2 linked regions of the Nothobranchius furzeri genome follow. Each later gene encodes a partner of the first gene's protein in a complex. Links are inferred from orthologs where the notes say so. Each region holds a gene or a part of one and is shown on either strand. Other genes may lie near its edges. The genes, in order: cdk4 and cdkn1a.

Region 1 (4,377 bases):
GGCAGCATCTGCAGTGATGTGGACGTTAAACCAGCCACTTGTGAAGAGGGAGCTAAGCCAGAAAGCAAAGCTCTAAATTAGGGGTGCACAATATATCGGTATCGGCCATTTTTTAACATATCTGTATCGGTCCGATAAATAAAACTAGGTCGATATTAACTGGTATTTTTTTCCATCTTGTTTCCATTTGTTTATCAGTTTCAGAGGGTGAGGGGGTGCTGTGTATTTTAGTCAAGTGACAGTGATTGCAATCATCTCAGTAGAGTAAGTGTGTGTGTGTGTGTGTGTGTGTGTGTACATAATAATGTAAATTCAGCTTTAATAATATTCAGTCTTTACAAAATCTGCTGATTTTAGAAGCATTAATGTCAGTATATCGATATCGGCCCTAACAGTGATATTAATATCGGTATCGGCCCAAAAATGTCACATCAGTGCATCTCTACTCTCAGTTTACCTGCCGGTCTTGATCCCAGTCCTCACCTGTAGTCATGAGCTTTGGGTAATGACAGAAAAAACAAGATGGCGAATACAGGGCGTACACTGTGCGACTTTTTCGTTGGTTGTTCGTCATCTGACACTGTTCACAGGGCACAGCCACGAGTCATGTTCTCACGCTCTGACCGCTCGCACTGTTGTGGTAGTAACACGCCGGTCCAAAGAATGTGTTTTAAGAGTTTTTTTCTCAACGGGTCGAACCTGTGAATCCAGAAACCTGAAAGAGAGGAGACTGTTGTGCCGTCATTGATGTCTGTTGTCCTTGAGGCCTGCCGTAGTTGTGGGAGGACACGCAGGGGTTTATGGGGAATAGAAGTAGAGGAAGAATGAAAGGCATGTAGGAACTAAACCGAGGTTTTGGGATCTGCTTTTACTTGACATGAATACAAAAGGTGCTTTCTTAACATTAACATGTGCAGAGAAAACTGTAAGTAAAAGGTGGAAACGTGTGTGGAGATGAATATGGCTGGCCAGACATTTTGGCGCGTGCGCTGTGTGAGCGGTTCTGGTACATTTGGGTCGCGGTGCAGCTTCAGCGGTGTCATACCCTCACAAGGGATCAGCAGAAATTTAAATATGCTTGATTCTCGTGCGATTGGGAGCTGGTCGGGGGGTCTTAACCGCCTCTCGTAACCCCTTCTATACTACACGACACAAAACTCGACCTGACCTCAAAGACTGTTGCATGGGTGGAAAATTGGCTCAAAATGAGCAGAAAATCACACAGCAGGCCTGGCTTTACAGAGTTTTAGGGATTATAGATTATAACAAAAGTAGCAGCATGAAACAAAAGAACAATCAAATGTCTAGTATAACATCTATTCTGGTTTATGTAGGAAGGCTCATCAGGAAGGTGTTTAACACAGTGGGCTGTTTCTACTCAGGATCTATTTAGTTTTTCACTTTCAACCAACACATCCTGCTGAAATGTGCTCACTTCTGCATCTTTACGTTTCTGGCCTGCTAGCATCATTTTTTAGTGAATTTTAACCGGTTGCTTAGTAATACTGTCACAGAGCACTATCAACTACATCTTACATTGTTGTCAGTGAACGCTGCTTTTTCTCGTAAGGGTTTGATGAATGACTGTAAACAGCCACATCTGCAGCCCAGTGAGGCACCGGCGTGCTCTCCTCAGGAGTTCAGCGTTCAGATTCATCAGCTGACGTTTACCAGGCTCACATCGAAAGCAAAACTCTGCTTCATGCGTACACACCGTGTGTTTAGCTCGAGTATGTGAAGGTTGGCTTAGATGAAGCGAAGCTTGTGCTGTTACTAATGCCAGTCTTGCGTTTGGCTCTCTTGGAGGTGGTGACGCTGTGGTACCGACCTCCTGAAGTTCTGCTGCAGTCCACGTACGCCACTCCGGTGGATATATGGAGCACCGGCTGCATCTTTGCTGAGATGTTCAGACGCAAGTGAGTCAACATAACGTTCAGATCACCGGTATCTGATCTTCTGTCAACTCGGGTTTAGCGGTTTGCTACGACTGGGATGTTTCCAGCTGATAGATGAGCGGTCTGGAAATCCGATAGAATGATTATCTGTGAAACCCGTTTGTTTTTAAAGACTTAGTTCTAGTTTATAACCCAACTTCTGATGATGATTTGCCTTTTAGACTAAATTTAGAATTTAAAAAAAAAGGGAAGGAAAAAAGCTCTGCATCCTCTTCCAAACAAGCCCGGAGATCAACGTTTTCTAGGATGTCAGCATTTGATTTCAGGCTGATGATTTTCAGGGACATAGTTTTACAGATTTTGACAGCTGGAGTTTAGTCTGGGAGCAGCCTGGGTGGACGTACCTAGAAGATATGAAGTTTATGTGTGATGTGTGCAGAGTGGCTCCATCTAGTGGTGGAAAACAGCATGACATCAGCAGCCAACAGGGTTGAAGAACTGTATTTGTTTTAGATGATTAAAATAAAAATTACGTAACTAATTTTACATGTATCGTTTTGTTTTTTAAGACCTTTATTCTGTGGAGAATCAGAAATGGACCAGCTTGGGAAAATATTTGAGTGAGTAACAAAGACTTAGCGGAACATCAGCAACCAGAACGACCAAGCAAATCATTCATTTCACTCATCTGCTTTCAGAGTTATCGGCTTGCCGCAGGAGGAGGAGTGGCCGACCGGCGTCACCGTGTCGAGGAAAAACTTTCCCGCTGTCAAAGCTCGCCCGATCACCGACTTTGTCCCAGAGATAAACGAGCAGGGGGCCAAACTGTTGATGGTAAGACTTGAGTTAACAACTGAAGGCCGATTCTTTTCTCACCTGCCAACGCCCCGGACCCCCGGGCTTTCCTGAACTAAAGCAGAATCGTACAGATGCATGACTTTTCAGCACATTATTAAAGAAATATGAAAATATAATGTAGAAAAGAAATCACACAGAAATATTTTCCTGCAGAAAGTGTCACAGCTAACCATGTGTGGGGGGAATGTTGTCAACCAAATGACTGTAAAAAAAAAAAATAAAATCTATTTTTTGCCTGTTCTCTTTCCTCCACAGCAAATGCTGACCTTTGACCCTTTGAAGCGAATATCAGCGCTGAACGCTCTAGAACATCTGTATTTCCAGGATGAGGAGACGTCGCCTCAGACAACCAGTTGAAATCATGCAGTAGAAAAAGAACCAACAGGATCCAGCGCCCTCTGAGTACAGATTATGTTTAGGGAATATTTCTTAGTTGATCCTGCTTCAGAAATCAGGATGAAACTCTGTGAGGATGAATTTGATGAGCACTGCCATGTTTTTGAGCTTGTACAAGTCACATGTAAAGATGTTATAGCAGCAGTTAAAGGGCAGCACTAGTGATTTTGATGTTTAGTCTTGGAGTCAACATGCAGAAATGTCTCGTTTAAATGCTGCTTTTGTTGCCGTACATTCTCCAGATAGGTTAGTGATGTTTGTCTTACACAGCTGTAACCCGTGTTGAAGCTGCTCGCTGTCTATAATGTGAGTGGCTGTATCTGAATCATGAACATTTTAAATGAAGTTTCAAACAGTTACAGATAAACGCACAAAAGCTTAAAAAATTGGAATTTCTTTTGAGTTATTGCACAAAAGTTTTTTGTGGAATGAATTTCACACCTTCAAATGTCACTAAACACCACACACTGAAATCTGAAATGAATAAAAGAAAGTATTCAATAATTCTGGGTCAGTTTGTTGTGTTTTACAGATGACTGTCTATAAAAATAAAACATCCTCTATCTGAACAGATGAAATATACTTTGTTCTCTAACCCATGTAAGTTTGTATTTGGAGCCACAATCAGAATTAAAGTGTAAAAACACTACAGGCAAATCCAACTTTGATGTAATGTCCTTAAAACAAGTCAAAATGAGGTTCAGTAGTGTGTGTGTGGCCTCCACGTGGTGAGGTGGTGGATGGTCTGAGGGATCTCCTCTCAGATCTGGACTAAAGCATCCTCCACTGCCTGGGCAGTCCGTGTATGATGATGTCCCACATGTGCTCAATTGGATTCAGGTTTGGCGAACAGGCAGGCCAGTCCATAGCATCATGCAGGAACTGCTGACACACTCCAGCCACATGAGGTCTAGCGTTGTCTTATATTAGAAGGAACCCAGGGCCAGCCGCATCTGCATGTTATAGCATGTTGAGGGCCGTGCCACCCCCCACCATTGCTGCCAAATCGGTCCTGCTGGAAGATGTTGCAGGCAGCAGGAGCACGGTGTTGGGCTAAAACACAACCCCAGCTTGTGGATGTCAGGCCCTCATTCCACCCTCTTGGAGTCTGTTTCTGACCGTTTGAGCACACACACGTGGCAAGGTGGAGAATTGTGGGCTGGTTAGAGCTGTAGCAACTCTAACCAGTCAGCCAAAGGAACAACTCCTTGGTCAAGAAGCCAGGGCG
Region 2 (3,335 bases), about 2.5 Mb from region 1:
GGTTTTAAAAATCAGTGGATGAGATGGAAAAAGTTGGCACTTCTGCTGATTATAGTCTAAGCAATGCAACCACATGTTTAAGGATATATCACAACTCCATAAGCCGTTTTCCGATGACTACGTAAAGCAGAGGTCCCCAATCCTGGTCCTGGAGGGCCGGTATCCTGCATGTTTTAGTTTGAATTCTGTTTCAACACACCTGATTTCAATCAGCAGCTCATTAACAGGCTTCTGCAGAGCCTGATGAGCTGCTGCACAGGCGTTTCAACCACTGAATCAAGTCTGTTGGAGCAGAAAAACCACAAAACCTGCTGGATACCAGCCCTCCAGGGCCAGGATTGGGAACCCCCGATGTAAAATATAATGCACTTAAAAAAAAAACTCCTATAAAAAGACGTAGAAAAACAATTATAGATTTGAACAAAATAGACAAAGCTCTCCTGTTTTTAGCTTTCCTGCGGCTTTGCCACAGAAACGTATTAATCTGAGTCCTGATATTTGTTCGCACGTCTGCTTTTCATCCTCAAACAGGCAGAAGTCCCACCAAACTGAGATGTGATTGTGTTTTAACCCTCTGGAGGCAGGCATCGCAGATCTGCAACAGTTAAAACCTACCTACCTGGTTACTCCACACAAGTATCTCATGAGCATTTTTTAACTCAGAAGCACCCCTGAAGGACTTAGTTGTTCGTCCTTTTATCAAAACGAGACCGAGAGGGTTAAGAGCTGTGTGACGCGCCGTAACAAATGTCAGTCAGCAATTTGGCGAGCTCTCAGTCCAAATGAGTATAAATCCACTGATTCCAGAGATTACTGTTAATCTTCTCTGCTCAAATGTCACCTTCTTAACTGCAGCGTGGACAGAAAACACCAGACCCCTCACACATGCAGCATCTTAATTAGCCTGGTGCCTTCTGGGTTTTTTTTTTCTTTTTTTTGTTTTTTTTTTGTTGGATGATTCAGCACTCCCGCTGCTCGGTGTGGAACAACTGATTCCTGAAGGAGGTGCTGGTTCTTTGTCTGGTTCTCTTGGGAGTTTTGGCACCTTCAAAGGAAATATCACTCCCCGGATTTCCTCGGCAGCCAGACAACTCTTCTTTTAGCCTGATAGAAATCTGTTGGGTTAAAGAAGAGGATACTTAGCTTATGAGAAAAGATGAGTGTTTCTAATTTGATATAAAAAATATCTAAACATACCTGTAATGTTTGTCTGTTTCCTCTTCATTCCTGATTTGTCTTCCGTCTCTGATGTTGTCTCCATGTTCTCCAGACTCAGAGAACATTTCTCTAGAGTTTGGGGGAAGTTCTCTTTCTCCCTCTCTGGTACCACCACCCTTCCTCTTTTGGTTGCACCTGCTGACCTTTGACCCTCTGCATGTCCTGCACAGATGACGCTGGATCTGTAGGGCAGTGGCACCCTGGTACCTGGGACAATCTCCCACTGGAAATCACCGCTCTCCAGAGGTTTGTCGGAGAAGAAGTCGAACCCCCAGCGTTGGGAAGCCTCCTCCAGATCTTTACGCAGGGCAGTCCGGTACTCCATCTGGAGCTGTTCTCGGTCCACTGGGCCAAACAGGCTCCGCCGAGGGGGACCGTTCCTTCTTAGAGTACTGAGGGCTCGCTTGTGAAGTGTAGCCATCCCTCTGCACTGTAGGTAAAAACAGGAAAACTGATTAGTTTCAAAAGCCACAATCTATTTTGTCCACAGTCTAAAAAGTACACAAACTAAATGTTTTTAATATTTTCAAACCAGTGATTTAAACAAAGTTTAGTCAGACTCACCATGGTTCTAGCCTAACAGCTCCTCAGTGAACTAGACTGCTTCTGTGAGCTGACGGGCTTTTATAATGCAGTGCAGCAGCAGCAGTGAGTCACTAGCCCTCCTCTCTGGTACATGTCTGGGCATAATCTCTCACAGGCATGTAAGGGCAAGTCCTCTGCTGTTGTGGTGTTTGGTGTAAGAGAGATAAACCACAAGGTGGCACTGTCACTCCGACTACAGACAGCTCGGAGGCAAACACCAGAGAAATAATTCATCTTCAGTTTACGTTGAAACTGAGGGAAACATGTGACTGTTTTCTGACTCTGACCTGGGAAACAGGTCATTCAGACCATCCAAGAAGGAAGGAAGCATTCAAGGAAAACAGTCCCTGCCCGTCCAGTTACGGTGCAGCAGATGAGATTGGGAGATGAATAAAATACGTTATCAGTGATTAAGAGGACACGAGCTTATTTTACAGAAGCTGTTCCAGTTATCTGCAAACGGAATCTGGAAAAATCTGCTTCAATTTGACGTGAAGATGCGTTTCAGTAAAATACTGATTAGTGTTATAAATAAAAATGTGTCAATGAAACAAGTCATCTGTTATAATCTGATATGATTCTGATTTTTATTTTCATACAAACACAAGCACAAACCCTTTTTTCTGATTCATAAAATATGAGAGTGAAATATGTCTCTATTTTAGCTTGATCTGGCTCCTATCATGGAGTTCAGTTTGGTTTGTTCATGAGAAAAAGAAGGGCCCTTTGCATTTTGATCAAAATTATCTACGTAGTAAAGTCAGTTGACTACAGTCTGTATCAGAGTTTACTAAAAAATGGGTTTGTTGGACACATCTAATGACCACTAAGACTATGTATGCAGTGTTCAACGCTCCCACCCACAGCACAGGGCTCAGAATAAAGCTCCCCAATTGTGGGTGGATCATTAGGTTAATAAAAGGGTTTGAAGGATCCCTGCTGGATCCCTGCGCTGCCCTGGTCCCACAGAGGAAGGGGGAGGGCGTTTCTTTTACTGGGCAGGGTGGTTCTGGGAGGAGTGACTCAAGCTTTGGCGGGAGAGCTAGTCATGCATGACTGAGTTGGACCCAGCCCAGTTCAGCTACAACTCTGCTCCACGTGAGTCTGGAACTCGTGTCAAACTGGGATGTCACAGTTTGGACTCACCCACTCTCTCTCTCTCTCTCTCTCTCTCTCACACACACACACACACACACACACACACACACACACACAGACATGTAAAAAAAACTAAAACCACCAAACAAGAGTTTATGGATTTCCTGGATGTGCAAAAATGAGATCGCAAAGATCCATTTATGTCAACTTTTCACACCTCTAGGAACACATTAGTCCTGTAAAAACGTTTTTGTTCTTCAAATGTTTAGAATACAATTATTAATGAGCTACAAAAGTGTATATATATATGTGTGTGTGTGTGTGTGTTGAGTTTTAAAGGTTGTGAAATCATAAATCTTACTCAGATGCTTAGAAGCTCTTTTAAATTTAACAACTACTAACTTCTTACATATAAAATAACATCTTTAATGTGT

The links.
Region 2: the proteins of cdk4 (region 1) and cdkn1a are in contact, whole or in part, in a crystal structure (PDB 6P8H), measured with the Homo sapiens proteins. The link is inferred for Nothobranchius furzeri from reciprocal best matches to the Homo sapiens genes CDK4 and CDKN1A. Residues at the interface, in NP_000066.1 of Homo sapiens: Gly18, Thr19, Val20, Tyr21, Lys22, Ala23, Asp25, Val32, Leu34, Ser36, Met75, Asp76, Cys78, Ala79, Thr80, Lys88, Thr90, Val92; in NP_000380.1 of Homo sapiens: Met38, Cys41, Ile42, Ala45, Arg48, Trp49, Phe51, Phe53, Val54, Glu56, Asp62, Phe63, Ala64, Trp65, Glu66, Arg67.

What each region holds. Positions count from the first base shown.
Region 1 is NC_091743.1:49,241,488-49,245,864, forward strand, and holds the end of cdk4 (cyclin-dependent kinase 4), read left to right. Parts: intron 1-1,806; coding exon 1,807-1,916; intron 1,917-2,464; coding exon 2,465-2,515; intron 2,516-2,593; coding exon 2,594-2,729; intron 2,730-3,008; coding exon 3,009-3,110; 3' UTR 3,111-3,653; downstream 3,654-4,377.
Region 2 is NC_091743.1:46,701,160-46,704,494, forward strand, and holds cdkn1a (cyclin-dependent kinase inhibitor 1), read right to left. Parts: upstream 1,917-3,335; 5' UTR 1,786-1,916; coding exon 1,783-1,785; intron 1,649-1,782; coding exon 1,198-1,648; intron 1,116-1,197; coding exon 1,060-1,115; 3' UTR 749-1,059; downstream 1-748. UniProt on the Homo sapiens protein: Plays an important role in controlling cell cycle progression and DNA damage-induced G2 arrest. Involved in p53/TP53 mediated inhibition of cellular proliferation in response to DNA damage.